4 linked regions of the Mytilus edulis genome follow. The main gene of each other region encodes a partner of the protein of the gene in region 4 in a complex. Links are inferred from orthologs where the notes say so. Each region holds a gene or a part of one and is shown on either strand. Other genes may lie near its edges. The genes, in order: protein SEC13 homolog, GATOR complex protein Iml1-like, GATOR1 complex protein NPRL2-like and GATOR2 complex protein MIOS-like.

The links.
Region 1: GATOR2 complex protein MIOS-like (region 4) and protein SEC13 homolog share a complex: the UniProt entries of both Drosophila melanogaster proteins name them as parts of the GATOR complex. The link is inferred for Mytilus edulis from reciprocal best matches to the Drosophila melanogaster genes mio and Sec13.
Region 2: GATOR2 complex protein MIOS-like (region 4) and GATOR complex protein Iml1-like share a complex: the UniProt entries of both Drosophila melanogaster proteins name them as parts of the GATOR complex. The link is inferred for Mytilus edulis from reciprocal best matches to the Drosophila melanogaster genes mio and Iml1.
Region 3: GATOR2 complex protein MIOS-like (region 4) and GATOR1 complex protein NPRL2-like share a complex: the UniProt entries of both Drosophila melanogaster proteins name them as parts of the GATOR complex. The link is inferred for Mytilus edulis from reciprocal best matches to the Drosophila melanogaster genes mio and Nprl2.

The regions. Positions count from the first base shown.
Region 1 is NC_092344.1:35,865,039-35,873,720, forward strand, and holds the start of protein SEC13 homolog, read right to left. Parts: upstream 3,233-8,682; 5' UTR 3,088-3,232; coding exon 3,085-3,087; intron 1,931-3,084; coding exon 1,886-1,930; intron 1,293-1,885; coding exon 1,177-1,292; intron 1-1,176. Other genes in the region: serine-enriched protein-like, read left to right, coding at 5,781-5,923, 6,301-6,500, 6,706-6,866, 7,115-7,165. UniProt on the Drosophila melanogaster protein: Functions as a component of the nuclear pore complex (NPC) and the COPII coat. At the endoplasmic reticulum, SEC13 is involved in the biogenesis of COPII-coated vesicles.
Region 2 is NC_092349.1:82,685,247-82,693,301, forward strand, and holds the start of GATOR complex protein Iml1-like, read right to left. Parts: upstream 3,262-8,055; 5' UTR 3,224-3,261; coding exon 3,166-3,223; intron 637-3,165; coding exon 543-636; intron 1-542. Other genes in the region: large ribosomal subunit protein uL16m-like, read left to right, coding at 3,366-3,420, 5,400-5,459, 7,151-7,320. UniProt on the Drosophila melanogaster protein: An essential component of the GATOR subcomplex GATOR1 which functions as an inhibitor of the amino acid-sensing branch of the TORC1 signaling pathway.
Region 3 is NC_092344.1:56,140,567-56,148,736, forward strand, and holds the start of GATOR1 complex protein NPRL2-like, read right to left. Parts: upstream 3,456-8,170; 5' UTR 3,354-3,455; coding exon 3,291-3,353; intron 1-3,290. UniProt on the Drosophila melanogaster protein: An essential component of the GATOR subcomplex GATOR1 which functions as an inhibitor of the amino acid-sensing branch of the TORC1 signaling pathway.
Region 4 is NC_092345.1:104,524,767-104,532,785, reverse strand, and holds the start of GATOR2 complex protein MIOS-like, read right to left. Parts: upstream 3,886-8,019; 5' UTR 3,745-3,885; intron 357-3,744; coding exon of another isoform or gene 1-356. Other genes in the region: uncharacterized protein, read left to right, coding at 1-356; coiled-coil domain-containing protein 89-like, read left to right, coding at 4,134-4,265. UniProt on the Drosophila melanogaster protein: An essential component of the GATOR subcomplex GATOR2 which functions as an activator of the amino acid-sensing branch of the mTORC1 signaling pathway.

The sequences.
Region 1 (8,682 bases), on a different chromosome or scaffold from region 4:
ACAATGAGCAAAGCCCATACCACATAGTCAGCTATAAAAGGCCCCGATAAGGTCAACAGTTTTGCAGACCTGTTTACCCACCATGATGTCTATCAGTAGAATTGTCAGTAGTTTGAAATGCTGTCAGTAATACCCTTCATGAGTGCTGTGAAGCGGCATGAACCATCTAGGGGGGTTTAGGGGCATGCCCCCCCCCCCCCCCAAGAAACTTTTGAAAAACTAGGTGCAATTTCCTGCATTCTGACAGTATCTGCAGTCTTATTCAGATATTTTTGCAACAAAGATTATAACCTAAAATTTGCATGATTTTACAAAAAGTTGAGTTAAAGTTTGGAATAAGTCAAAACATGCAAATATTAAAAATTTCATTAATTATTTAATCTTGTACTGTTGTACAACACATTAAAAATACAAAACCTCAAAATAATAATTTCAATAGGGACAAGATTTCAATACTTATGACAAGAAATTTAATTGCCATTGAATGAATATAAATATTAGCAAGTTACTTTCAATACAAAGTTGCCAACAGATTAAGGGTTTAACAAGGTACTATTGTAGATCATATTCAATTCATAGTTCAGAGTTCGCAGGATCTTTGTTCAGTTCGTTTTTTTCTAACACAAGAAAAAACTTTTCACAATGTGCGATACTGTGGTGAATTTTCATAATTCCAAACGCTGGCATCCTGATTCATGCCGTCCATGAAATATACTTGATCGCTATCATTTTTGCCCTTTAAAGAGCGGTTATTCCCAGTCAAAAAAGTGCCTTTCAGACACTGATCGCCGTAAACGAAAGCAACTATGATTTTTTCACCGATTGTTAGAAAATCTGTACTTTTTCATGACGAATCCGTATTGAGTAATTTTATTAAAAAATCTGTGTAAAATATTGACAATCCATACACGTAAACACCTTTGTTTTTGCTCCTAGAATTTAGATTTAAAAAAGGAGTTAATTTCTTAATTTTGGAGATTTATATTCAAAAAGGAGGGTACCCCAAAGAAAAGGAGCAACTGTATCCTCATTTGGCTTCAAATGGATAATTGTTTCATTGCAGTGGCAAACATACCACATCTCTTTATTTTTATCTTATTAATACACACTCAAATAAAAAACACCTACATGTATGAACTAAAAATGTATATTCATGTGATATGTATGTATTCTTACCCTTGTAATTCATTTATAAGTGTCTGTTGGCCATCTTTAACATCAAATATTTTAATGGTTTTGTCTGATGAGCAGGTAGCTAGTTTTGTTCCATAGTAGTCAAGCTGAGCATCATGCTGAAATAAATAATTGTTTTCTACAATAATTTAACATAATTTGAATGATAAAGAAGTTATTTACTAGTATATTACATGTATACTAAAGAGTTCCAGAATTTGATGCTAGACGAGGGCCCTATGCATTCATTATTTAATAGAAGACCATAATTTAACAGCGATTACATTTGTTTTGTGTTAAGCCCTTTCTAGAAGACCTTGCAACTTTGATGATGTGCTCAAATCTGAAATATTTCTAGTTTGACATATTAGCTGAATTATATATGTTTATTTTTTAAGGTACATTGTATCACAATAAATACACTGCTAGTACCAGTAAATATATTTTGGTTGTCAGTATTTTGCTCGAGTTAACATGGTTAATTTTAAATTGTTTTGACTACATGTACAATTGCGTCAAAAGTTAAAGCGGCTGGGTCAGCCGGGATAAGTGCTAAGGTGTATTGCAGTGCTCACATGATAAGTTAGTAAACTTTGTTTGACAAGTGTCTTTATTCATTTTCTGCATTTATCATGTTTATGTAAATGCATTAAAAAAAACCTAGCATTTCTGATCCAATGACATGTTCTTAAAATTTTGTATTATTACTTACAATCATATCTTCATGAGCTGTATCTATAGAATTGATGACGGAAACCTGAAATAGTTAAAACAAATTATGATTATCTTAGCAAACAAGTTATATAAAAAAGAAGATGTGGTATGATTGCCAATGAGACAACTATCCACAAAAGACCAAAATGACACAGACATTAACAACTATAGGTCACCGTACGGCCTTCAACAATGAGCAAAGCCCATACCCCATAGTCGGCTATAAAAGGCCGGTATCGGGACCGTTCGCCCTAGGTCCGTTCGTTCGCCCAGAGTCTGTTCGCCCTACTATAAAAATATTAATATTCAGGGCATTGGAAATTGAATAAACTTATTCAGATATTTCTATGGTATATATATCATGTATATTCTTGAAATTTATGGAAACATTGAAATATTTAAAAGTTTATGGCTTGTTTTTGATCATTAATTGTTCAATTACAAAATAATACGGATAACTGATTATTGTGAACCTTGTCTTCTGATGGATTAATAATAAAAACAAACGTTTTATTTTGATAAAATATTCAGCTTGAAATTAATAAAACTAATGATGTACGAACTGTAAATTATGAAACGGATTTACAAGACTAGTTCATTTATTTATACTGCATACTTTCGTGATTGACTGATTACAATTATTTTGTTAACAAATATCAATAAAGATAAATACATTGTATTCCAGTATTCTACTCTGCAAATCAAAGGGAAAATGATAAATTGATTGCTGCAATATAAATATTCTGTCAATTTTTCAACAAACTTTAACATAATTTGTTCAAACACTTAAAATAATGCGACTAGACAACAATTAGAAAAAAATAATAATCAGGGCGAATGGACCCTGAGCGAACAGGTATCAGGGCGAACAGGTTCTCGGACGAACATGAATCAGGGCGAACGGACCCGGATTCTAAAAGGCCCCGATAAGACAATGTAAAACAATTCTACGAGAAAACTAACGTCCAGTAGTCATTGAGTAGACTTGTAATTGAGAATGAAAAAGTGTCTCACTGTTGTTATATCATAAACGAATTAACTAAAACACAATTGATGATACTAAAAAATACTATATTTAAATTATATATAAAGACTTATAAGTTCCCGGTCTCATAACACTAAACACTAACAGATATATTTTGTGTTAGTCTTTGTATACAAGCAGTATAGTTAGCAATATTTTCACCTGTAACCTACCATTGTGGGTTTGTCCTGAAGTAAAGTATTAGCGTGTTTTGTCTATTTTAAATGCCTCAGAATGTGCCAGGCTTAAGTTTACATGTCAACACGAACGTGGCAAAATTTACTTCCGGTAAAACTGCAAAGTTATCCCCCCTTCAACCGATGGGTGAACCTTTTTCAACAGTGGCGTATTCCGGATAAAATTCATAGCATGTTTTTAAATAAATAAGTCCTCGGGTCATTATTTTCTATTTCTGCCCATTTATCTATTTCTTTTTCTGCCCATTTATCTATTTCTTTTTAACTTATTGTGCAAACAAAAAATGTCAGCAAAAAACTGTTAAGGGAGATAACGCCATCATCGGTATTTATTTCTTCATAGCTATACAATTTTCTCATACTTTAGTTTAGGAACCAAAAAATATATTTTACCATTTTTTTTCTCTTAAAAAATAAAATAAGAGTATGGTTCATCAGGTATTGAGAAAGTCCCTGGGTGAACCATGCTATTTTTCATTCTGCAATTAAGTCGAGCAATATTGGATAATTATATCAAGGATTTGTATATCCAGAGACATATATATATGTCTCTGGTATATCTATAGTAACTATACAAATCTTTGATTATATGCATTCTTCATCAATGATGACATAAATCTTTGATGCGAATGAAAAAAAATATAAGACAGAATTTTGAAATAAAATATGAGAAAATGTTTTTTTTTTTATAGTATTTAGACCGATGAACCACCTTTTACTTCATCTTTATCCAGGTATAAGAATACTGCCCATTTCTACATAAATCAATTATGAATTTAAATATGTACTCCATTTATAGAATTAGGACAAAATTTAGAGAATGTAATGTAGATTTATACACTAATTTAGATAATGTGTTGCATAAAAATGTTATTTAATTACATAGTTAGAAGATTTTTTATTTGAAAATTAAGATAAATTGGCATAATAGAATATTGTCACAAAATGTTGGAAAAAAATTACGCACTTATAAATTGTTTAAAAATGTTTTTGAAACAGAGATGTATTTGAGGAAGAACATTTCAATACGATACAGAAGTGCAATTTCTAAATGTAGGTGTGGCGTTGCCCCCATTGCGAATAGTAACAGGTGGCTATGAAAATAAAACTGTAAATGAAAGAGTTTTCTTTGTGTGCAATGATAAAATTGAAGATGAGAAACATGTGCTTTATATGCAGATTTACATGAAATTTTAGTTTATGAAGTTAAAAGAAGTAATGGTGATTTTAATATTTAATCTGATGGTGATATATATCTTTTTAAAAATACTGATTGTTTTGATGTGGTTGCCAAGACCTGCTTTAACAATTCTGAGACTACTATAATGTTATAGTAGTCTCAGAACAATTTAAGTAGAAAAAATAGTTTTTTATATGCTTGGTGCTTGATTGATGCATGGTTATGTTTTTATAAACTTGAAATTTTTTATAGACATGCTAATTGTAGTTGTATGGTTTTACATAACAAAAATGTTTTTATAGACATGATAAATATATAATTATAATTTATATTGATTTCTATAGTCTCTCATAATTCTTTATAGAATGGCACTTGTATTTTAATTTATAAAATTTTTGTCTTATTCAATGTATATATTATGATGATTGTATTATATGTCTTACAAGTGGTGAGACTCAAATAAAATATTGAATCTGAATCTGAATCCATTTACGCGTTTAGTGAAAAACAAAAAAAGTTATAATTGCTCTAATGAGGTGTTGGGTAATTAACGATAGAATAATCATAAAATGACATTCTGATCACTCCAAGCCAAAAGACAGCTCGTCAACTTGTCAACGGAAATCTACCGTTTAGTTAAATTGTAAGAAAAAGATCATGTCCACGTCAACAATATTTATGAAACTGACAGACCAATTTTCGGAATGTCACAACTTTGGAACTTTGGGATTTTAAAATTTCTTAATCAGAAATGAGCGTATAAATATCCCAAGCCTAGGTTTCAAATCATTTAAACAACCAAAGCTTACAAGACATACATGATGGCATTGTTTACTAGTTCAACTAAATGTCAAACTATGGTAGAGGAAAAAGCCAATTTATTATCCCAAGATAGTGAAAATGAAGGTAAGTGTGTTATAATTTGTATTTTCACAATTTAAAATATCTGTTAAACGTTCGTCGAGTCTTTGAACATTCTAATCGTAAAGCTAGTGTTAATAAGAAAACTTGAAAAACATATATTAAAGTAAATTCTTCATAGAAAAACTATCACCATTACTGAAAGTCTTTTTCTTCTCGTTTTGTATTTTCATGTCTAAAAAGTTATTCATATACAGGAAATTATATCTTGATATTTTCAATTTCTGTGTCATTTGGTCCCTTGTGGAGAATTGTCACATTGGCAATCATGTACCACATCTTCTTTTTTTTTATATTAAAAACAAGCAGTAGTTAACCAAAAACAACTGTTTTGAAACACTCTTGGAATATCTTTAAAATTTTTAATCATTTTGTATTTTTAGACTTTTCATCTGGATATGATTCACCAGAGTACTTCTCTGATCAAGATACAAAAAGAAACTGCTCCAACAGATTACAAATAGTCCCATTATCTGATAAATCGGACATTTCATCTGCTGAATCGATTCCGTTTAATGATTACTCATATGAGGATGACGACATACATAATGATAACGATATTGCCGATTCGATGAAAGTAACCAATGTGCATACATTGATCGATAACATTCGATATATTTTATCGATGCCAGATTTATGCGATGTTATGTTTATCGTAGGCCCACAAAGAGTTCCCGTCTATGGACTGAAGGCTATTTTAAGCACACGAAGCAGGTAATTGTCTAAATTAATAGATGTTGATCTCCAATACATTTGTACATATGTAAATAGTTTATATGCATTTTCTCAATACAGTCTCAAATTTGGACGAATTATATCATATCGGTTTTTTGGTTTTTTTTTTTAAATTGTCCAAGAAATATAACAGGTCATTATGATAATGAATTGAGTGCGTCTTTGATTTTAGGTAATTTTAAATGCCATCTGTTTTATAGAAAGTTGAAAGAAAAACAACGAGTTTCGCTTGAAGTGAGTCTTCTAAACAATGGAATATATTCTAAACCGAACTACTTTGCAGCTATAATAAACCATGTATTCTTAGTATAATAGTTTTCTGGGAATAAATTTTAAATCTTAATTTCCATTTCTAGGTTATTTTTCGTTATGTTTTTGAAATACTCAAAAGAAGCATTGAAACAGAGAAAGAAAACGAAGATAACGACGCACATCCAACCAGACCAGAGCAACAAATTGACTATGACTATAGATAATTATGATGCTGATATATTCCGTACATTTTTGTTGTTTGTCCATTGTGGAACAGTAGAAATAGAGCCATCAACAGTTACTGGTAAGCATAAGTTGTGAACTCGCTATAAACATCGATCGATTGATAGAAGAAAGGGGGAGGCTTTTCTCAAATAAAGTGTAAAGTGTTTTCCTTTTTTTCACACTTTTTTTTTTGTATCAAGACAAAAATTAAACAGTTCTAACTAGTAATCTGAAATAACATTAAAAATGTTTTGAAATGCTAATCGCTACTGATCTCATTTTAGGGCTACTTTGTTTGGCTACGGAGTTTGATATTCCCGACCTGCGGAATTCATGCTGGGAATTCATAGACCGATGCCTGTCAGTGCAATCTTTTTCTACCGTATTGATGAAAGAAACGATCTTTTATGGCGACCACAAAGCTGCACAGAAACTTAGGATTAAGGTAAAATTTAAATTTTATTGTAAAAACTTATGATTGATTCTGTGTAATGTAAGTGCATGTAGGGGGAAAAAAGGGGGGGGGGAGGTAAAGAAAAAAAGAAAAACATTTTAGTAATTAATGGATGCATATAAGTGTATCGGTTAAAGATAAAAAGAAACTGAAAAAAAACCAAAAAAAACAGTCTAAGTATCAAGCATTCTCCAACAATATTTACAAGCCATTTTCACGTGTTTTTGTTTTTTTTTCAGATTTTGAGAACTGCAACAAAGGCATCGTTAACATCTTCATCTGTTTTTTAAGAGATTGAATTCCCGTAGCACTGAACAAGATCGCGGTACCAGCAAAGAGACATAAGTTTGAATTTATAGAATTATCAATTTTAGTGCTATACTTTGCATTCTAGTATGAATTATACAGATAACTATATATGATTGAAAATACAACTATAGAAATGTTTATACATGATGTATTCATAGTGCTTATAAAAATAAACGTTTACTGCTTTTGATTTCTTTATAGTTGCCAATGGCCTGAACTACTTTATTGAACTCCTTTATTGTTGTACTTTTCGCCGTGCCTGACTCGCATTGTTGGCATATCAAATTTGTCGTGAAACTTACGCATTAGAAACATAATTTTGCTAAATTTCAGTAGCATTGCTAATCTAATTTCGTTTTCCAGAAATTCATGTTTTCGGTGTACGAATACGTCCATCGCAAACAAACAAAAATTGATAAAACATCCGGGGTTGTTACTATTTCCGTGCACAGGGAACTTAATTGTTGAAACCAAAATAGGCTTACAGCCGATTTTAAAGAGAGTGTAGGCAAAGGCAATACATTTGGTTTGCTTAGGTAAAGTCAAAAAATTTGGTTAGCTTGCTTAACCGTGAAGTAATTGTTATGTTAGGTAAACTAACCTCCGTTAAGAGTAGACTAGTCCAACATTTACCAATCTATCTGTATGTAGGACTAGACTACTTCGAAATGAGGGTAGCATACCTTACAAAACAATGACCTCACGTTTAGGCTAACAAGCAAGCTAACAAAAGATATTACCTTTGACTACACACTCAATGGAATCGGCTGTAACAGTAAAATAAGGCTGCAGGAGTAAACAGCTGATTTGTGTTTTACAAATAAGTAAATATCTTGTTATACGTCAATGAGAAAGCAACCCAACGACATCAACATGTGTGTCCATTATTTAAACAAGAGTGCACACGCTGAAATGTCTCGCCTTCTATACTAATCATTGATATTATGTTGATAGTCCTAAGTATAAAGCTAAGCTTTATTACAACTGTCACATAAACTTAACATTAACCAAGATAACTAAACAAAGACCAATGAACCTTGAAAAAGAGGTCCAGGTCAGATGAACCATGCCAGGCAGACAGGTACAGCTAACAATGCTTCTATACAACATATATAGTTGACACATTACTTATAGTTTAAGAAAAATAGACCAAAACACAAAAACTTAACACTGTGCAATGAACCGTGAAAATGAGGTCACGGTTAAATAAAACCTGCCCGACTGACATAAAGATCATAAAATATTTCCATACACCAAATATAGTTGACCTATGGCATATAGCATTAGATAAAAAGACCAAAACTCAAAAACTTAACTTTGACCACTGAACCATGAAAATGAGGTCAAGGTCACATGACATTTGCCCGCTAGACATGTACACTTAACAATCATTCCATACAACAAATATAGTAGACCTATTGCATATGGTATGAGAAAAACAGACCAAAACACAAAAATTTAACTATAACCACTGAACCATGAAAATGAGGTCAAGGTC
Region 2 (8,055 bases), on a different chromosome or scaffold from region 4:
ATATAGGCAAACAAAATCTAATATCTAACAGACCCCTTCTGATGTTGTTGGGTTGTTTCTCTTTTATGTTTACTCAACATCTTCCTCTTGTTTCTTTCATCATACTTATAAATATTTTCAGTTAAAATTAATTAATGATTTCATAAACATGATAAATCAACTCTTTTTTCCAGAATTACTTTCATAACCTATAAACCTCATTTGTCAAAATTCAATAACTTCTTATTTCAAAAATCATTTTACATGTATTAAGCTAAATGCCTATACATGTACATGAATTAAAACATGTAAAGTGAGTAAGGAAGTAAAAAACATTGAAAAAAAGTCCACTTAGTCCAGACATTAGACTATCATCAAATGCCAATTACAAATGAACATATACATACAGGGGTTTACACAGTGGAACGAAATAATAAAACAGCAATACAATTACCGTAACAATTATCATCACTGATACCACGACTGAGTTCATGATAACTATATATATATATTAGTTATTACAAAGAATTGTTAGGTTATCTCCCTTACTTGATGACACTTACCTATTATCACTATCAGAATGATGAATCTCTAGAATATCTCGGAGAACAACGTCAGGAAAGTCTTTAGGATTGATCAAAATATCATTTCCTAAAACTAAAATAGCAAACAAAAAAGTTTATAAATAAAATTGGGAATGGAAATGGGAAACGTGTCAAAGAGACAACAACCCAACCATAAAAGATCATAGAACAGACGACAGCTGAAGATCACTAACAGGTCTTCAATGCAGCGAGAAATTCCTGCACACGGAGGCGTCCTTCAGCTGGCCCCTAAACAAATATATATACTATTTCAGTGATAATGAACACCATACTAAACTCTATAATTGTACACAAGAAACTAAAATTAAAAATAATACAAGACTAACAAAGGCCAGAGGCTCCCGACTTTGGACAGGTGCAAAAATGTGCGTGGTTAAACATGTTTATGAGATCGCAACCCACCCCCTATACATCTTGCCAATGTAGAAAAGTAAACGCATAACAATACACACATTAAAATTCAGTTCAAGAGCCTGTAAATTGAGACTTGTCATGGTTTACTTTTATAAAATTGTTACTTGGAAGTTGTCTCATTGGCACTCATACCACATCTTCCTATATCTATGAACATTGTTTTTTCCCAAAGTTTTATTTTTATTGTGGATGTTTTTTTGTAGTGGGAAAATCCCTCAAACGTAAGGTGCTTGTCATTTTGAAATTCTTAGAAATATGATTTGCATGACCTGTTTTGTCTGCCACTAAGATTGAGTGAGGGGGGGGGGTGTAGGAGGGGTCCTGATCTTGAAAACCTGGGCTTTAAAACACGATATTCCTGAATTTAAAAAGATCTAAATACCTGCATCCCGAAATTGGAAAAAAAGAATTCCCGGATCCCATAAGGGTCAATCCTGAAATTCCGAGCTTAAAAACACCTGTTCCCGGAATACTGATAAAGGTCCTATCCCCTTCATTGATGACGCTTAATGGAATGTACACAAAGCTATAGAGGTCAGAAGTGGAATTTGTGAAGTTCTGAAATGTTTTAGGAATTTGGAAGTCAGGTTTTAAACAGCCATTAGAAAATTGGCAAGTTGGCAATTTTTATAAAATACTTTTGAATAACTATGAAAACATATCTCTAGATTGATTGATTGTTGGTTGCTTGACGTCCAGTGGCAAATATTTCATGCATATTCAGGACGACATATCTTTAGAAATGTTCTTTTATTTAGAAGAGTAGAACAAATGTATTCTGCACTAATTTTGAGAGTTGGTATTAGCGTAGTGGAGTCAATGCGGAGTTTTCCCGTGTAATAAGTACAATAACAAAGTCTGAATGAACCAACAAGACGACCGATTATACACTACAGTAGGATATCTTAGATTATTCTGGGAAAACACCATAAAAACCTTTAGGATATTCAGTATTATCATACCTGTCAACTCACCCGTTTTTTGCGGGTGACACCCGTTATTTTCACCTCTCACCCGGGAGTTTTTCTTTACCCGGCGGGTCCCGGGAATTTCTAACATTACCCGTTTCACCCAGATTTCTGACCGGAATTGTTTCCGGTATTTAGAAGTAATACGACCTTCGGTTTTATCGGTCTTTTTCAATGTAACCAAAAGTCAAAATGTAGGACTGTTTACCTGAGCTACGTAACGATATGAAGAGACAACACAGCTACAAGATGAGTTCAGTGACTATCAGTTGACCCCATTAGATGAACTTCCACTTTGCACTTCCCCTGAAACTGACATTGGTACATTTTGGGGAGAAATGTCCAAGTTGCATGACATTTTTATTAACAAGCCAAAATTTTTTGTTTTGTCAAAACTTGCTAAAACATTACTGGTTTTGCCAAACAGCATTGCAGACAGTGAGAGGGCATTTTCTTTAGTAAAGAAAATAGCTACAGAGTTTAGGGCTGATCTTAATAAGGATACACTGTGTGCTCTTCTTTCTTGTAAAATGAATACACATTTGCATTGCTATGAACTGAAACCAAGTGCAGTTCTTTTAAAGAATGCCAAGTCTGCTACTATGGAATATAACAATAGTCTGAAATAAACTTGTATACATGTTCTAACTGTTTCATATACATATTGACTATATAAATTATATGTAAACATATTTTTCTTCTTCAATTGAGCCCGCAAAATGTCGTACGCGTTATGACCTGAGATTTTTTTTCTCAATGCAGGTCATGACCTGACTTTTCATTTTCAGAGGTTGACAGGTATGTATTATGTTACGTCACTACAGCAATACAACTTGTATATTTATTAGTATTATGTAGATGTAGATAGATTAGCCATGACTAAATTACTATCTTAACTATTAAGTCTTGCTCTCATACATCACGCACTTCTAACCAAACTCGAAAAAAGAAAGAAAAAGACCGAAAACGTTGCACAAAAATAACCCTTTGCCACCCTCTTTTTTTTTGCAGAAAATAACAGCCTTCCAAGATGTCATGAATAATTTCAAAATATTTGTCATAATTTGACAGAACTTCAGAAGAGACAGTGCTACATTGCAAATTAAATTACTCATGTACACAGTACAGTTGTAACGAATGCATGGTTTGTAAAAAGATTTTGAAATGAATTTAAACAAAAATCACGAAATGTCATTTACATGCATCTTGTGGATTTCTTTTATGGACATGAAGCTTTTTTATCTTTTCATTCTCCATTTCATTTTGGTGGCGGTTTTTTCGTACGGCGATGGATAAAGTCCGAGAGAAACATACGAAATGCATGGTCTGCAAAACGCTTACATTTACGAATTTGCGTAAAGGGAAAATAAAGAGAATAGCCTACATCGAAGAACAAAAAATGAACTGTCTTGTAAAAAATCTTTGCAGAAAACATTTACTTTTGCTAACAAAATGTAATTGAAATTATTGAATAAGTAGCAATTTTTTATCATTTTCGATATATGTGATTATTTCAGTTGTTCTCACGGTAGCAAAAATCTCTTAGAAAGATATGATTAGGGATCAAATCGGCACCTATGTATAAAAGTCATTTCGGCATAATTTTTGCCAACGGTTAGACAATTCGGAACCTAACATATGTTCAGCTTTTCCTTCCACTTTATTTTAGGGTGCATTCTGTATTCAAGATTTGTATAGTAACCTTTACAATATATTTTATTTTTAGTATAAAGAATGATCAGCTGATATCTTTTTCATTCTACTTTCATTCTCGATAAGCTGAAAAAAAATTGTTGGTTTCCGGTTCTCTAACTAACGTTTGCCTCAACTAAATGTGATGAAACTTATACATAATGCTTATTACCACATAACACAGATCAAGTTTGGATTTTGGTGACATCATGTGCACTTAAAGGGGCACAAACTGTCAAATTCATTTTCACCGAAATGAACACAATTCTCATATTTGATTTATAACAATGTATAAAAACATTTATCAAAACTACATGCATTAAAAGTCTAAAATAAACAATAAACAGGACACTGGCATGAAAAAACATAGCTTCGTTTTGTGTGTAGTTTAGTCCATACACCATCCAATTAACTATAGAGTTGACCTCTAAAGTCATCTGATGACCATACATGCGATGTAAACATAAATATAAATATAGATAGATGGAGCTAACTCGTGCTGTTGGATTTTTCTAGGTCTATTTACTTCATGTTATAGATTAAAAATTCATGTTTATCCTTTTTTTTACCTGTATAAGAATGATTGTGTTTGGATCAAATAAGTCAATCAAATGATTTACCTTTGTTTCACTTTCAATGTTGACATTAATTTCCTTTAAATAACTTTACACATATAATTCACATGTTATCCATCTCAAGCTAAGGGGTTAAATTGAAGTTCACATGAATACAGATTCAATGACATGAATGAGGTAGAATTATTCACTTGCAAGTGATTGAATCATAATCAATGTTTTTTAGCTTATTTTCACAAAATTGAACCATATTGGCTGCTAAAAGTGAATTATTATTTCTCTATTTGCATTTCATTAATGATTGAGCAAAAGAAATAATGTGTTAGATTTTTAATGTATCTCGTAGCTAGTGGTCCTTTATCATGTTTATAAGTGGAAATATTGCTGATTTTTTAGTTGCCGTTCTCTAATATTAGTTTGCCTAAATAAATGTTATGAAACTTACACACAATGCTTATTACAATACAGATCAAGTGTGAATTTAAGTAGTGTCACTTTAATATAACCATTCTAGAGTTATGCCCTTTATAAATAAAATGAAAATATGATGAATATTTTTTTCCATCCTTGATATTTTTTCAGTTCTTAAACTTAAGTTTGACTCAACCAAATGTTATGCAACTTATGCAGAATACTTTTTACCACAAAACTCTGATCGGTACAATTTGGGTAGCATGATGTTTTGGAGTTAAGTATTGATGTACATTTTCACTGAACTACATGTAGTACACATTGTTATTAAGGGGCCAGCTGAAGCCTGCCTCTGGGTGTAGGATTTTCTTGTGCGTTGAAGACCCATTGGTGGTTCAGTTGTAGTTGTCTCATTGACATATTTCCCATTTCAATTCTCTATTTTAGATCGGTTTCTGATTATATAAATTACCTTTAAACTACATGTTTGTGCTCTATCTGTCTACCTGTCTGTCTGTCCATCTGTTATTCAGGCAAATAAGTTTTTCCACAATTTTTTCTTTGCTTGAATTCGAAGATATTGGTCTGATATTTGACATGTTTGATGATACTTTTAAAGTATCTTTAGTCATTGTTAGTTGGAAAACTCACTTCGACTTTCCTGTACAATAAAAAGATGATTTGAAGTAATAAAAAAGGGGATTTTGTGTTATATTCTGACATGTAGCTAATTAGATAATTTGATTATTTTTCAGGGTCAGAAGTGACTCAGGTTGCCACATACATGAAGCTGAAAATGCCAGAAAAGGAAGAAGGTAATTTTGATTGATAATTAAACCTTCTGCTGTATTTGAGATTTCAGTGTTTGGCTCATTTAAAAATGTTTTTATGCCCCACCTACGATAGTAGAGGGGCATTATGTTTTCTGGTCTGTGGCTCCGTTCGTTTGTTTGTCCTGCTCCAGGTTTAAGTTTTTGGTGAAGGTAGTTTTTGATGAAGCTGAAGTCCAATCAACTTGAAACTTAGTACACTTGTTGCTTATGATAAGATCTTTCTAATTTTAATGCCAAATTAGACTTTTGACCCCAATTTCATGGTCCACTGAACATAGAAAATTAAAGTGGGAGTTTCAGGTTAAAGTTTTTGGTCAATGTAGTTTTTGATGAAATTGAAGTTCAATCAACTTGAAACTTAGTACACATGTTACCTATAGCATAATATTTCTTATTTTAATGCCAAATTAGATATTTACCCAATTTCACGGTCTATGGAACATGAAAAAGGATAGTGCAAGTGGGGCGTCTGTGTACTTTGGACACATTCTTGTTTTATAATTTATTAGTACATGTATCTTAAAAAATCATAAACATGATAAGAGTAAACATGGTACAGTTACAATGTCAAGGAAACATTTTAAATTCACTGCAAACAAAGAATTAGTATGTTTTATAAAAAGCATTAAGAAAAAGTATTGAATCAAATATATACACACAGTATAAGTTATGATACAGAAGAATGTAATCAGAGAAGAAGTTACTATTTATAATATTGATGGTACTACACATGTATTGCTTAGTTTGAAAGGATCAAGATCTAAAACAATAAGTATAATTCTACCACATTAATGTTTCCTGTTGCTGTCACAAATTAAGACTTTTTTATGACATTTGTGACTTTTAAAAAAAAAATGTTAACTCATGAATTTGAGTTGAGTTTTGTTTCTGACAGTTATTCACAACTTGTATAGAGTGACTAAGATGATTTGTATCTTGACATATTGCTTTATAGATATGATCTACTTTTAAAGACTGTTTGATTCCTTTTTAGATGTCTATTTATTATTTTTTTTATATAAGGTTGATGTCTTTTTGACATGTACCCCAAACATCATTTTATTCATGATTAAGATTTATTCTACCATCTAAAGCATTGTCAGATTTCACCCTGTTCAATCACTGCCTGTTATCCTAATATGTTGTATCTACCTTCAGTTACATTTAAGAGCCACCTTAATGAACAATTTCAATCACTGTCTGCAAATCTAAAAAGTTATATAACTGCATTTAAATTCAGAAATAAGAATTTTATCTAGATGATTAAGCACGCTCACTTAATTATAACTTGCTGGTAACAATACATTTTATCCTGATTTTAGAAGGAAAAATCAGTTATTGACTTGTGGATGTTCTGCGAGAGGGCACAGGGGTATCCATATGGCAGGCTGCCAAACAGTGTCCATGCATTTACTCATAAACCATTCAACCAAAGCTTTTTAAATTTTAATACATTTTTACTGATGACAAAATGAAGGTCAAGTTCAGTATTGACGATTGTCACTTTTACTTTTTATGATCAGGAGTTGTGGTCCTTGAAAAATACCAGAACACAAATAATCAATAAAAAAAATCTGGTTTGCTGTTGCTCTAACAGCCTTTTGTTAGACTTTAATGTAGTCTGTGTGAAAATTAATATTACACATTATGATATGAATCTTGTTATATTACAGATTTAGAACTACCTGTAAATAGACTAAGGAGTAAACTGTCACAGTTTGACAAAGTACCACAGAACCCAATTCCTTCTGCTAAACCTCCTACCATGTCTAAAATGTTGGACCATATGAGAGGGCCAGAGATGGTCAATAACAAACTTATCTACGGACAATTTGGAATACAGGTATTTAAAAAGTTACAGATATATGTAATAAATTAAACAAAAAAATACACCTCCCAAAGTCATAGTAAGGTGAACTTTGAAATATAAAAACCATTACAGATAGAACATTTTAAAAGAAATTACCAAGAAAAAGAAAATGCTACTCTGCATTTCATGGTAAAAACTGAGTTTAACTTACCAACAGAAAACTGTTTGGTGTTCAGTTATAAAACGGGATAATTGACTATTACTACAAGGTAATACCAGGTAATATTCCATGATACATGAAATAAATACATAGGAACAGTATTTACCCTGTGAATATGTAAATAGAATTGAGAATGGAAATGGGGAATGTGTCAAAGAGACAACAACTCAACCATAGAGCAGACAACAGCAGAAGGTCACCAACAGGTCTTCAATGCAGCGGGAAATTCCCGCACTCGGAGGCGTCCTTCAGCTGGCCCCTAATCAAATATATATACTAGTTCAGTGATAATGAATGCCATACTAAACTCCAAATTGTACACAAAAACTAAAATTAAAAATAATAAAAGACTAACAAAGGCCAGAGGCTCCTGACTTGGGACAGGCGCAAAATTGTGGCGGGGTTAAACATGTTTACGAGATCTCAACCCTCCCCCTATACCTCTAGCCAATGAAAAGTTAACGCATAACAATACGCACATTAAAATTCAGTTCAAGAGAAGTCTGAGTCTGATGTCAGAAGATGTAACCAAAGAAAATAAACAAAAT
Region 3 (8,170 bases), on a different chromosome or scaffold from region 4:
TATAATAAACTTTGCCCTTTAGAAAAATTTACATAAAATTTATTAAAAGAGAGACGAAAGATACCAAAGGGACAGTCAAACTCATAAATCTAAAACAAACTGACAACGCCATGGCTAAAAATGAAAAAGAAAAACAGAAAAACAATAGTACACATGACACAACATAGAAAACTAAAGAATAAACAACACGAACCCCACCAAAAACTAGGGGTGATCTCAGTTGCTCCGGAAGGGTAAGCAGATCCTGCTCCACATGTGGCACCTGTCATGTTGCTTATGTGATTACAAATCCGGTAAATAGTCTAATTCGGTAAGTCACATTCATGAAAGGGAAGGGGATTGTAGTTACGACGTAAGGAACATATCCTATATCATTTGTGAAACGGTTATTCCATAACGGTCAACCAACTAGTGATGGCGTCCGTAAAATTTACGAAGGGATGATTTCAACTTCACCATTTGGAACTCTTGGTTTAATAGCTTCCTTGTGAGCAGTAACCCTCTATCAAGAAAATCATGATAGGAAATGCAAGCACAGGAATATCGTATCAATTGGGAGATATATACCCCATATGCAGGTGCTGCTGGAATGTTTAAATTAGTGAAAGTTGTTAAAAATTATTGTTTCAGACGAGAAGATTTTTGTAAAAGATAACAAAAATTTACGAAAAATTGTTAAAAATTGACTATACAGGGCAATAACTCCTAAAGGGGTCAACTGACCATTTTGGTTTTTAGATCTTACTTTGCTGAACATTATTGCTGTTTACAGTTTATCTCTATCTATAATAGTATTCAAGATAATAACCAAAAACAGAAAAATTTCTTTAAAAATTACCAATTCAGGGGCAGCAACCCAACAACCAGTTGTCTGATTCATCTGAAAATTTCAGGGCAGATAGATATTGACTTGATAAACAATTTAACTTTGTAAGATTTGATCTACTTGCTTTGGTTTCAGAGTTATAAGCCAAAAACTTCATTTTACCCGCATGTTCTATTTTTAGCCATGGTGGCCATCTTGGTTTGTTGGCCAGGTCACCACACACATTTTTTAAACTAGATACCCTAGTGATGATTGTGGCCAAGTTTGGCCTAGTAGTTTCAGAGGAGAAGATTTTTGTAAAAGTTAACAGCGATGGACGACGGACACCAAGTGATGGGAAAAGCTCACTTGGCCCTTTGGGCCAGGTTAGCTAAAAATAGAAAGCATACAGAAAAGAGGAGCACGTTTCATCCTGCACGATTATAAATCCAGACACCAGGTGCGTCACAAATATGCTTTCTAAGCCAAAACTACCACCTCTTCAAGAACGAAGGAAACATCAGAGGCTGACTATGTTCTACAAAGTGGTTGAGCGATTGATCCAACTTATTACCTGCAAAAGACAAGAAATAAACGCCAAGTCAAGGCAAAAAACTTTAGTGACTTTCAATACTCAAACATCGTGGAAAGACAAGAAACTAGAAATAGCAGTTCATACAAGTTAATAGACTGCAAAACAGACATTCGAAAGAACTCTTTTTTTCCAAAAACAATAGTAGAGTGGAACCATCTGGACGAGAAAACTGCATGTCAAAAAACAGTTGAGTGTTTCACGGCTGCCCTCCAACGGTTGGACTAACCAACCCGCTCTCCTTCTAGTGCGCATACATGTATATCCGCGATTGGATCCTGCACTGTGTAAAATACAGATACAGAAACAGATACAAGATGGCTAAGGTCCTAAATTTAAAGAAATTTTAATCCCGACATCCCAAAATTAGAAAAAAGAATTCTTGGATCCCGAAAGTATTAATGCCAGCTTAAAAACTTGTGAAAACACCCTGTCTCAGAGTCTCGATAAAGGTCCAACCCCCGCCCCCTCCTTTCTCTGAATAAACATCACAGGCACTTGTTTCTACTGTTCTATCCATGGGAAGGTCGACTGTGCATATATATGGATAGTCGACCTTCCCATGGATAGAAACAAGTGCCTGGATAGGCGACCTCCCCATGGATAGAAACAAGAGCCTGGATAGGCGACCATTAAGGTTCATCATAACCTTTTGGCTAAAATGGCCGTATTTACACCCCAAATTTTACTCTGAGTACAGACTAACCTATACACCTGCAACAGTTTTAAGGGATGGCAGGAACTAGATATATAAATTTTAAATGCATTTTATGTTTCAGAAAATTATAAACTTTTCTAGGTTTTGCTATCCATTTTTTTTCGTTCCTGCAGAAGGTGCAAAAATTAACTAAGTAGTGAAAACGATTGAGAAGCTCCCCTCATATAATCAATGTTGTGAGTAGTATTGATTTAAATGGACAATAGATGGACAATAGACACCTGTAAACAATAGGTTATTTAACAGGTTTAAACTGTGTAACTGAGTGGACCGTATCAAATGAAACTTGGGTGTTTGTTTATTTTGCTATCTTCTGCAGACTGGAAAAAAATGAACATCAAAATCCAGGTAAGTTTTTAATTTTCTGAAACGTAGACTTCATATTTTTATATATCTAGTTCCTGCCATGCCTTAAAACTTTCCTGGATGTACCAGTTTGTCTGTACTCAGAGAAAAATTTGGGGTGTAAATACGGCCATTTTAGCCAAAAGGTTATGATGAACATTAAGGTTCATCATAAGGAATTGAAAAATATGGCCGTGTTTACACCTCCAAAATTACTATGAGTACAGACAAACTGGTACATCCAGGAAAGTTTTAAGGCATGGCAGGAACTAGATATATAAAAGTTATATGAAATCTACGTTTCAGAAAATTAAAAACTTACCTGGATTTTGATGTTCATTTTTTTCCAGTCTGCAGAAGATAGCAAAATAAACAAACACCCGAGTTTCATTTGATACGGTCCACTCAGTTACACAGTTTAAACCTGTTAAATAACCTATTGTTTACAGGTGTCTATTGTCCATCTATTGTCCATTTAAATCAATACTACTCACAACATTGATTATATGAGGGGAGCTTCTCAATCGTTTTCACTACTTAGTTAATTTTTGCACCTTCTGCAGGAACGAAAAAAAATGGATAGCAAAATCTAGATAAGTTTATAATTTTCTGAAACATAAAATGCATTTAAAATTTATATATCTAGTTCCTGCCATCCCTTAAAACTGTTGCAGGTGTATAGGTTAGTCTGTACTCAGAGTAAAATTTGGGGTGTAAATACGGCCATTTTAGCCAAAAGGTTATGATGAACCTTAAAGCATCATGATACAAATTTTATGTGTATCTCACAATTTTCACAGGGCAAAGACATTTACAGTATGTGCATTTACTTGATATTTGATCTTAGGACCAGCAGTTGGATGGAATTCTGCAAGGCACATTCCCTTTATCATTGTTTCAAATTTAATCTGTAAATGCAGGGGAATATAAGTAAATACAAATGTAAATAAACTAAAAAGTTGTCTGCAAGAAGGGAGGTAATCGAAAAATATCAGCTGATTATTGAGGTTTTACCAAAATATGACCATCAATACCCGGGAACGGAACCAGATATGTCTGTAGTGGCCTGTCTGTATTGTCTGTATTGGTACATGTAGAATCCTATTTAGGCATTTTTTAAACATAACTTCTAATAAACTTAAGGTGACTCGGGCGTGCTCCTCCATCTATTATGTAGCAAGAAATCAAGTCCGATGTTGTATTTGTTTTCTCTTGATGTGAACATGTATACTGTACAGTGGCGGATCCAGAAATTGGCCCACTGACTGACCTAAGAGGGGGCCCGCTCCAGTCACGCTTCAGTGATTCCCTATATAAGCAACCAAATTTTTTCCCAAAAAGGGGGGGGGGGGCGGGCCCCCTGCCCCCCCCCCCCTAAATCCGCCTCTGCTGTATACTTTTTTTACTATTTAAAATTTTGGTTAAAACATATAGCAAATTTGAAATGATATTAAATTTATGTTTATCTAAAGAGAAAATGAAAATGATCCACAACAAAAATACAACCAAATTTGCATATAAAACTGTGACAATTCTGCTTCTATTTGCCGCAGGCTATGCCCCGAAAACGATATTTTCTTTCAAAGTCGATCTTCGCTTACATAGGATATCTCTGTTGGAATGAACGTAATTAAATGGCCATTGTTCTATATAAACTTGGTATCTGTTAAGTAATTTCTTCGTAGTTTCCGTTTATCGCTGGGTGCGCAATGACTCAGTCAGACGTAAAGCACGTTATTGCGTCAATACCGCGGTGTAATCAACCAGTCCACACTAATAAACAGCTTTTCACGCTGTAAAATCATAACAGTTAAGTTATATAAAATTGATAGCTATAGACTAGATAGGCATAAATCATGACTATTCCGGAAAAAAACTATAAATTGTTTTATCATAATTTTAGTCTAAAATGATGACAACATATTGACAAAACGTCAAAAATATGCGTGTCAGACGTAAACAGACTGTACGAATAATAACTTTAGCAGGTTTGTTTTGTGTTCTTCAAAACAGTGTTATATCCGCGAAAATTCGAATGAATCAGTGGCGGATCCAGAAATTTTCATAAGTGGGGGCCCACTGACTGACCTAAGAGGGGGCCCGCTCCAGTCACGCTTCAATGATTCCCTTTATAAGCAACCAATTTTTTTCCCAAAAAAGGGGGGGGGCCGGGCCCCCTGGGCCCCCCCTCTAAATCCGCCTCTGCAAGATGTCCAATGTCGGAATTCGCCGCTTTTTACAAATAAAGTGTCATTTAATTGCGACGTTATTTATTGAAACTTTAGAATCCTTGCATCCTAAATAGTGCTTTTCCGTAATTGAACTTTTTATTAACTCTACAAAACAGTCAGCTACATACTTTTTGATACTTTGCGCATTCAAAACGACTTCGTTTTCAAAGAAATTAAATGTCTTGCAATTTTGTCCACTGGACGATTTTTATACGTTTTCTACGTTGTCGATTCGAGACGCTATTCATGGTTGGAAATCATCTATTTACATTTCCTCAGATAAAATTTCATTGATAGTCAGATACTATAATTATCAACAATACCACAAAGTATAAAAAAAATCGATGACTGGGGTTGTTCGTTTAGATGAGGTTAAGTGGTGAAAAACTTACGAGAGAATAAACAATCATCTCTTTCAAATTTTCAAATTTGGGAAGCGTAAAACTGTGTCTTTTTTTTTTTTATTTCTCTGCAATACGATTCATATGTATAGAACTTGAAAGCCGAGAAAATAAAATTGGGCCTAAAGCGTGGCTATATACCTTTCCATATCAAACAAAGCTTGTAAAGTCATAAATGGACTTATATTTTTTTTACAGTTAACATGAAAATTCAGCCTGGGGTTGAAGTGTAAATATGATTAAGCCATTTCAAAAGGTAGAAGAACTTGATTCTTCATGTCCTTGGTCCACTTTTTAGTTTAATCAGTTTTCGTGCTCAAACTTAAAAATTTAAATGCAGGTTCTTTGGCGGCCTCATGCTTCAGATTTTACTGTTCTTTAAATTTTAATAAGTTAAAAAGAATTCCCTTGAGGGCAATTCATTGTTATCTGAGCAAATCAGTTACATATTTTTTTGCAATACTTTTGTCAGGTGAAAATATTTGGCTACACGGCTGGTTACTCAAGTGTGAAGTGAGTAGATTTGAGTGTATAAATTATCATGTGATCAACAGGTTTGAATTGGGCTTTATTTTAGTTTAAATTGATCTTTACTTGGACAAACTCCTGTGTTTTTCCTTAAAAATTTTGGGGACATCAGATGAGTTCAAAGTTATAGAAGATTTAAGGTATCATTTATTTATCATAAATTTCTTTAATGTGATCTGTTTTGTTTGATTTACTTCTAGATATGTTAAACATCTTCTTAATGTCTGTGCATGTCTATATATACAAGCTTTACTTGAGTTACAGCATAGAGCTTTTACTTTAACCATTTAAGATTCATGATTGATTGTTGGTTGCATAATTTCCAGTGGCAAATATAACAAAAAGAATAGAGCTCACATTCATGTATCTGTCTTGGGAACAATTAACAGTTTAACCAATCAAATTTGGGTAAAGTTTTTGAACTGGTTGGCAAAACTTACTGAAAACGTCTATGTTGAAAACCTTGTATTGTAGGGTCAATAGACTCAAAAATATTGAGTCTATGGGAGCAACATTGCTAAATCAAAAAATTTCCCAACAAAACTTTAGGGAAGGTATGGGTACAGTAAACACACATACTTTTTGGTTTGCAACATATTTTCTGGAATAATTTTAATATTAAATGTTTCTTTTCAGTACTTTGACACTACAAACTTAGTTATCTAAAAAATCTAAATTGGTATTCAGATGCATCTAGGAAAGCAAGACAGTATATCAACTTCATTTCACAAACATGTTGATTTTCTCTTGATACAGTAGACCAAGCCTTGAATACAGGTATAATCAAATAGTTTATTACAAAACTTAATCATTTTTTTTTTTACCATCCGGATTACTAGCAGGTTTATCTGATAATATATTGTACTATATGTATATTAACAATTAGATTGTTAGATTGTTTCTGTGATGATCTAAACTAAATATACCTAAAAAAAAAATTCATAAATGTCTGAGACCGAAAGCTTCTGGATTAGTTTTTTGATGATGAATTTCTCCCAAAATTCTTCTTGATAAACTTTTCTCAGATTTGACTACTATTATGATTTGGACATTAAAGTATACAACGGTATTCATCTTTGATAGACCTAGTGCTACAGTTTAATAGGTAAACAAATAATATGCACACAGGAATATCCATCCAGAATACAAAATCAGTACATAGACAGCATAAATAAACGAACAAAAGAAAGGAACAGTGCTTTTATTGCTGTTCTTCATCTTATACATAATCAATTTGCACAAAATTTATCATTTTCACTCAAAAGTTTGAATAAGTTTTAAAAAAAAATTAAATGTATGAAAATATACTTTTTGTTGCTATTGATATACAAGTCATTTATACAGACATACATTTTATCAATGAAATTTATCATTATAAGTTATAAATAAGGTAATATAAGTTAAGTACACTTTTTTAGCTCACCTGGCCTAAAAATGTGTCCAGTGACCTGGCCAACCAACCAAGATTTATAAAGAATGATAAATAATATAGAGTTTTAAGTTCCATTCTTTCATATTTATTAAAAAGAAATGATGTTTTAGAGGAGCCAACAACTGAGCAGAGAGCAGAAGAGAGATTGATGACCTTGAAGAGTAAGCAATGTGAACAGTAAGCCAGCTGTTAAGTATATCTGGGGTTACCAAATATTATGGTAAGAACCTCATCTATAATCAAACTTGGTGAGTATTCTTTTTATTGGTTAGATATTATGCATCATTATAAAAAAAAGGGGGATGTAGGGTATAAATCAACAAGGCAGCTACCCAATGAAAATAAATAACCAAAGACATCTACAGGTCTTCAACTATAGACTGATGTTTATACAATACATGAACTTGTAAATCATCCAAAGTCTAAAAGATTTGTGAATAAAATGAACAGACTAACAAATAACTTACATACACACCAATATCTGACCTAAGCACATGAGCATGTTGCAGGGTGAAACTTTTTTATATAAAGCCCACCCTTTTTGTGCAATGCCTAACCAAACTACAAAATTTCATACAAAACACTTTTCAAATTGAAGGGTTTCAAATTTTGAATAAGCTAATTTGTTCTTTTTAAAAAAAAAAATGCCAGATGCAATTAACAAACAAAAAATTATTTGGAAATCTTGACTCCCCCGCACGAGAAAAATGTCACTCTTATTATTTAGGAAATGGTCACTACCTCGATAGTCTTTAAAATTAATTCAGTTGCTCTGGTCATTTTTCAAAATTTAACAAGTGAATGAAGTTGTTTTGATGAAGCTTACCTTTAATCAATTGGAGATAACTGTGACCACATGGATCATAATTCTGAAAACTTATCCTGAAATCCTGGGCTTAAAAACTCGAAATCCTGAGGTCCTGAATTTAAATAAATTTAAATCCCAACATACCGAATTTCGAAAAAAGAATTCCTGGGTGTTGAAAGGGTCAATCCCGAGATCCTGAGCTTGAAAACACTCAACCCCGGAGTCCCGATAAAGGTCCTATCTACCCTCATATCTATAATTGTCAACTAAGATAAAAGAAATACAGAAATTGTTTACATTAAATTGCCTT
Region 4 (8,019 bases):
AATTTACCGAGGGAGAAACAGTAGCTGTACGCGACTACCGTGGACCAAATAAATGGACAAGTGGACTTATAACCAAACGTGAAGGACCGTTAAATTACCAGGTAGAAGTTTCGCCCAATAGTATCTGGAAACGTCATGCAGACCAGATACGAAACTCAGACTTTAACGATAAACAGGGAGAAGAAATTAAAAATGACAAAACAGTTGAAATAGAGATAATTCCGGATGAACCAACTGAGCAACCGGCACAAGATCTCCAACCGAAACATCAAGACAGTGAACAACCTTTGTCAGAACCAATTCAGAGAAGATATCCGTTGAGAACCAGAAAACCGGTTACCAAATTAAATTTGTAATAATGGTTGTAGTGCGTAAGGGTAATAATAATTCCCTTTGCAACCTGTTATGTGTGATTGTGTGCGCGAGAAAAATAAATGTTTTTCTATGGCAATCACTAGGGATAAATATTTTGAATGCATGATATTAGAGTTTTTTTGTAGTTAACGTTTTTATTTACACATAGACAGTAATTATTTTCTTTCATTCATTCTTTCCACACGTGCTTTATACAACAGATTTTTATCAATGACCGAGTCAATGACCTTATCATTTGTATACTATAACTTTACTATGGAATTCGAAAATTAGAAGGGAGGAAATGTTATGTCTAATTGAAACTGACAATACAAACTATTAAAGTTACAACGAATCGTTATCAAATGAACTGTAATCTCTAAAGTGATGAAAACCATATGGCACCGCCTATACCGTTATACTTACCACAGTTGTCGCGATATATAATATGTAACTTGCTTGATTATTTTAGTGTAGAATAAAATGCTAATCTAAACAGATGCCTTCTACCTCAATGTTATACTTAGTAATACATAACAGAGGACAGTAAGTTTATATAGTAAAGAGGAGACCTGTATTGTTGAGCCTGAAGTTAGATGTACATTGTGTTATACTTGAAACTTTGTTAAAGTCGTGTGATTTTAATAGCACAGAATTGAACTTTTATTCGCCTTCTTATTTATGTTCACTACAAGACTTCATTCAGACTGCACCAGGATCCATTTATTTATTCATAAATGTGACCAGGATTCCCTTAATCACACTACCAGTAGATTTCAAGGGCAACCCTGTTAAAGAGTATACTTGGCATATCTCGTCCATTTACAAGTGAAAGGCACGACCTGAAACTTATATACCCAACAACACAGCACACACACACAGATACGCACTTTAGTTCAAGTCCCAGCTGAAAAACAATAAAGCTTGTGGCTTAGATTTTATAACTAATGAAATGCTAAAGGCAAGTGCCAATAGTTTAGTTCCATGTTATAGAAAATTATTTAATTTATGTCTTAACACAGGAAAATATCCCGAATGCTGGGCTGAAGGATACACTCTACCCCTTTTTAAGTCAGGGGACCCAACTGATCCCTCAAACTACAGAGGCATCTCAATTACATGTGCAATTGGTAAACTTTTTAATACAATCTTAAATGATAGACTTGACAAATATTTATTACAAAACAGTCTAATTACTGAGTTTCAAATTGGCTTTGTTAAAAAGTCCAGAACATCTGATCATATGTTTTTGCTTAAAAATCTGATTGACTCGGTACTTTCCACAGGTAAAAAATTGTATGCATGTTTTATAGATTTTAAAAAGGCGTTTGATTCAGTCATACATAGTGGTATTAAATATAAACTATTACAGATGGGATTAGGAGGAAATTTTTACAACATTATAAAGAACATGTACAATGTTAGCTCAACTTGTGTCAAAGCTGGGAAAATTTTAACTGACTCTTTTAGAGTTAAATTAGGGGTTCGACAAGGTGATAACCTAAGCCCTAATCTTTTCAAAATTTTTATAAATGACTTTCCATCATATATTGATAATGTTGATGATGATCTGATTTTGGGTGATACTAATATTAATTGTTTAATGTATGCTGATGATATTGTTTTGCTCTCTACCACATCATATGGTCTTCAATCTAAGTTAAAAAATGTTGATAAGTTTTGCTCTGACTGGTGCTTAAACATAAACACCAATAAAACAAAAATTTTAGTATTTAATAAGCAAGGTAGACTTATCAATGAAAAATTTACTCTTCAGCAAGTTGAACTGGAATGTGTACAGCACTACAAGTATTTAGGCCTTATATTTTCGGCTTCAGGAGTCTTCTCTCATGCAAGACAGGAATTGTACAAAAAGAGTCTAAAAGGCTATTATAAATTATGCAAAGATGTTATTCGTTCACATCCAAAAATTACTACCAGTCTACATCTATTTGATCACATGATCAAACCTATTTCTTTATATTCCTCTGAAATTTGGGGTACATTTAACCCAAAGAGTAGTAAATTTAGAAATGATATAGTCTTAGATAAAATTTATTCAGATCTTGAACCAGATAAATTACACATGAAAATAACAAAATTTATTTTGGGTGTAAACAGAAAGAGCAGCAATTTTGCTGTACTCTCTGAACTAGGTAGATTTCCTATTTATATTAGTATTGTGAAAAATCTACTGAATTATTATTTTAGAATTGAAAATATGCCTGAGGACTCTTTATTATATAAAGCCTTACAAACCTCTAAAGATTTAGATGATAAAAATCACAATAGTTGGTATAGCAGTGTCAGACACTTATGTAAAATTATTGACCTGCCTAGTAACTCCATTAATTTTAGTAAATACAAATTCAGAAAATGTTTACTTAATTGTTTAAAAGTATCCTATGTCAAATCTTGGGAAAATGCTTATAGCCAAAATAGCCAAGGAAAACTAAGAACATATTGTCAGTTTAAAACATCATTTTGTAAAGAAAATTATTTAAATATCTTGAAAAATTTTGATTTGAGAAAAGCTATCACAAAATTCAGGATTTCATCTCATAGACTTAAAATTGAAACTGGGAGATATTCCAAATTAGAAGTTCATCAAAGAATTTGTGATAAATGCAATTTGAATAAAGTGGAAGATGAACTTCATTTTCTTATAGAATGTCCTGTATACTCTAAGGATAGAGACATGTTATTTGATCTGATATTTAAAGAATGTAAAAAATTTTACTCCTTGGATATGGTCAATAAATTTATTTGGCTATTAAACTGTGAGTCTATTAATATTTTAAAACAACTTGGCTATTTCTTATCAAAACACCTGCCTTGAGTAAACATTTATAATATAACACTGGGATACTGTAAGTAATATTTAAAATGTCTAACTTTTTAAAGCATACTGTTTTGTTGTTTTGCTTTATTGTATTTGTAATTGTTTGTAACTATATATTGTCATGAATGTATATGCACTATGCCCCTTGAGGGTACCTCTTATGGAAATAAAAGATATTCTATTCTATTCTATTCTATTCTATTCATACTAAACTTTTTCGTCACACTAATTACTAATACAGTTAAAAACAACTGATAATTTTCGTGTATCATTCACGTTTCATTCTGGATCATATGACAGTTTATCATAAAATCAAATGCGGATAGGCGTAGCCTACGAAGGCCTATTTGTCTACATGTCCCAAGCATGCAGATACGTGCAGTCATTGTCAATAAAGTATTGCTTAATAAGTGTTATTTGATTGATTTTAATCTTTTTTAGCCTATAATTACTGTAAAGTGTAAGTTTTCATAATCATATGAATAAAATATATTCTTCTGTAAATATTTCATTTTGTTCTGCTTATATTTTGAGTTTGTGATTTTTACCTGGGGCTGTCAATATTGGTCCCACTTTTACTCTATTGATCCCTATTGTACCCAGTTTTTAGTTTTGACCCCAAAAAATCTCTGACTTTCTATTTCCGAAAACGAAAGCAGATGGAGTAACCTCCCATGCAGTGTCGTAATATTTATTTTGGTGAACTTAAAAAAAAACAATAACACGATTTAATTGTTTATGTAAAATATAGTATTTTTTTGTATATCCTGCTGCAACAACATAATTTTTTACAATATTATCATTCATCATATCGTAACTGTTTGTCGTAAAAAAATTCTGGCATTTCCGGCGTCATGTTTCTGTGGTAGCCGTTTCGCCGTTTTCATTTCGTACTTGTTTTTAACAGAAAAGTGGAATATGTTGCTTAACTTTAATTATGGAATCATCTCTTGCTCACCAAACATCCTTTCTATATGAGAATTTTTCTAGTATTTTACTAGGACAAGACATGGCATCAAACACAAGGAATCCTAAAGAAATCAGAGAAATGGTTTCCGACAGCAATAAGGTGAAAAAAAGTAAAACAATGAATGAAAGTGTAGTGTTTAAAGGAGTAGGTCCAGTAAGACCCCTTTTTGGCCCCAAAATATAGCAGTTTTACAAAATTGTTCAAATGTAAACTTTTAGTAATTTATTGGACAGAAGAATGCTTCTGCTACATAAACATGGGCCGTTTTTGACAATACAATGAAAATATATCGGGTACTAGCACCACAAAGTCATGCTAAATTACTGAAATCTTCACAATTCTAGCATTTTAGTTGAATTTTAGACGCTTTTCGTGTAAAACGAAAGTGGCCGCATTCATCATGTTCATGTTCATCCTTAATATTAAAATGTAAGTTGTATTTTATGATAATACATAACATATACAAAGGTTGAGGATGAACACGGATGCGGCCACTTTCATTTTTGACAAAAACCATCTGAAAAGTGACATTTTTCGGCATATTTGGTAGATTTTTCATATTTCAGCTTGAATCGGTGCGTTTTTTTATGATTAAATCAGTTAAAATCTTTTACAAAAACAAATGAATCAAATAAAATAGACACTTAAGTGTTTAAAAAGTGGTCAAAATCATTCGTCAGATGAACCTGAAATTTGAGGCCAAAATCGGTCCTTACCGGACCTTCTCCTTTGGTAAAATATCTGTTTGTATGTAATGATAGTGATAAACTTTTAAATGGAGCTACTGTTTTCATCCGGGTGTCTATACAGTCATGACAGTTACCAAATGATAAAGAGATGGAGACATGAATACAAATCTATATACAAAGAAAAGGTCATAATGGGGTTGCACTAATGACAGGATGACTGCCCGGATCATGACAGGACGGTTGACCGGACGACATATATATAGTCATAACTGTTTTGTTATTCAGTAGATTTGTTTAATATTTGTAGACCTTATACTATTAAAATATATTTTATGAAAATCAAACAAAATAAGTGAAAAAAAATATTTTTGAGCAAATATAGTTGACCAGATGGTATTCACACTTGCCTTTAAATGCTATACATATATTCAACTGGTGGGCAACAAGTGTTAATATCTCTTTTGTTTTACAATAATATTTGTCCAAGAAATTCAGGAATCTGTGAAATTTATAAATAAATTATACGAAAATATAAATTTATAGTAAAAAAAAAAGTTTTTCTTCTAAAAAATTTGACGAAATGGTATTCACATTTGCCGATATATGCTTTAAATATATTGAAATGATCAACACAAGTGTTAATATCTCTATTGCTTTACAATATTCGTCTATGAAATTCAGGAATCTATGAGATTTATAAATATATTATACGAAAATATAAACTTCATGATATTCTGCCAAAAAAATTAACCGGACGGTCTTCACATTCCTTGATGTACACGTTGATTATACATGTATGTTAATATAAAAAAAATTAAGGATAAACAATATTTAAGCAGCTGATTTAAGTCATGAAAATGAGAAATCTGCGACATCAATAATTATATGATATGAAAATATAAACTTTCTTGAAAAAAATATATTTTTCTTCAAAATAAAGTTGACCAGACTGAGTCATATTCGCCGATGTAATTTAACAGAGACATATGATACAAGAGATTCAAAAATCTAATGGAGTCTATAGTTGTAATTTATGTGTCTGGTTTTAAATATATTAACAGGATCAACTTTATATTTGTGTCGATCATTTCAATACATTTAAAGCATATATACATGTATGACGAATGTGAATTCCGTCCGGTCAACTTTTTTTTGAAGAAAAACATTTTTATGTAATATAAAATTTATATTTTAATATCAAGTATTTATTGTGATCTCGTAGATTTCTTAGTTTCGTGTAAAAATATTGTAAAACAAATAAGATATAACACTTTTTTTTTATCAGTTCAATATAATTAACGCGTACATGTACATTAGAGAATGTGAATAATGTCCGGTCAACTTTTTATGGAGAAAAACATTTTTTTTACTTTGAAGTTTATATTTTCGTATCCAATATTTATTATTCTCACAGATTCAGGAATTTTGTTGACAAATATTGTAAAACAAAAGATGTATTGATGTATTAACACTTGTTGCCGACCAGTTGAATATATAATGTATAGCGTATAACGACGAGTGTGAATACTGTCCGGTCAACTTCATTTGCTCAAAAATATTTTTTTCACTTATTTTGTTTGATTTTCATAATATATATTTTAATATCTTTAAGGTCTACAAATTTTAAACAAATCTACCGAATAACAAAAAAGTTATAACTATTTATATGTCGTCCGGTCAACTGTCCTGGGGGCAATCGTCCTGTCATTAGTGCTTCCCGTCATAATGACTTATTTGCAAGCAGTGAACAATCATTTATCAAAAACAAAACAAAACAAACAGATTCTTTTCAATATCTGTTTTTGATAATGTGATATCATTCAAATAGAAAGGCAACAAGGGTACTATAAACATATTACTTTTTGATGAAAAATTGAAAAAAAAACACTTTAAACAACAATTTCTACATCTTACGGTTACATTTGGTTACATTTACGACAAAATTTATGTCGATTAAAAACCTCCTGATCTGAGTCCTAATCTGACATGTATGTGTTGTGGAGGGGGTATTTGGACTTATCACCATGATCACTATGTGACAGGAATCTGGGTCCATTTCCCTAAATCAAATTCGCTCCAATTTAGCATTCGCCCCCATACATGTTACCACCTCACACGTTTGCACCCTATGAACAACAAATGATGTCGTCATCCAAAACATTTATCACCAAAAAAAAATTCATTAGAAAAATTCGCAAATATTTATTCATGAAAACTATTTTGATATTATAATTGTATAAATAAACCAATTGTTCAGACGTTTCGGCCATTGGCCTTCTTCAGTTATTTATTATTCCTCTAAACTACATGGCTGACATTTCTTTTTTCAAACATTGATATTATCAAATTATTAATTTGATTACCGGTATATACATTACATTTTAAATACATTGTAGCATCTAATAATTCAACAGGAATTTGAATAAAAATAGGGTATTATTGAACCCACTGACAAATGTGCTGTTTTATGATGTCCATTGAATGTATCATTGTACAATATCAATTTCAAAGATCCATGACAGTCTTCCCAAGTTATTTTTTTCCAAATCATGTTAGGGTACATCTTTTTACCACAGAACCTTATAGAACTCATGCTATTTGGGAATCTGCGACACTTTACCTGAAAATTGAACTATTGACATCTTTTAAACAACAATCCCTTTTCCTTGGTAAAAATATGTAGCATTGTAAGATAACAGACATGTTTTATTATGACATTAACATTTACAGAAACCTAAGCAGGGTTGGCAAAACTGCTTGTTTTATGAGTATTGCCCAGCCCTAGACCGATAAATTTGACATTCTAATATGACGTGCTTCTTTCGCTTTGTAAACAACACCGTGATAAAATTCTCGATATATCTATACTTAGCGCAGACTCCAAGATGTACACAAATGGCTGTTTAAATATGCCTCCCACGTAAATCCACATGTATCCTAACCTATGTGTAACCGGTTGTGGATTTCGCTGTGTTAACAATTACAATTGAATAAAACCCTACAGAACATTTATTCTGATTCTGACGCATAACAAAAAGAATTTACACATTAGAGAACGGAAAAAAGGACAAAAACAAAATAAATTAAAATTCCACGAAATTCCAGTAATGATTTTGGCGCATTAACGTCATTTCTAAACATGACGTCATACGTATGAAAATGTC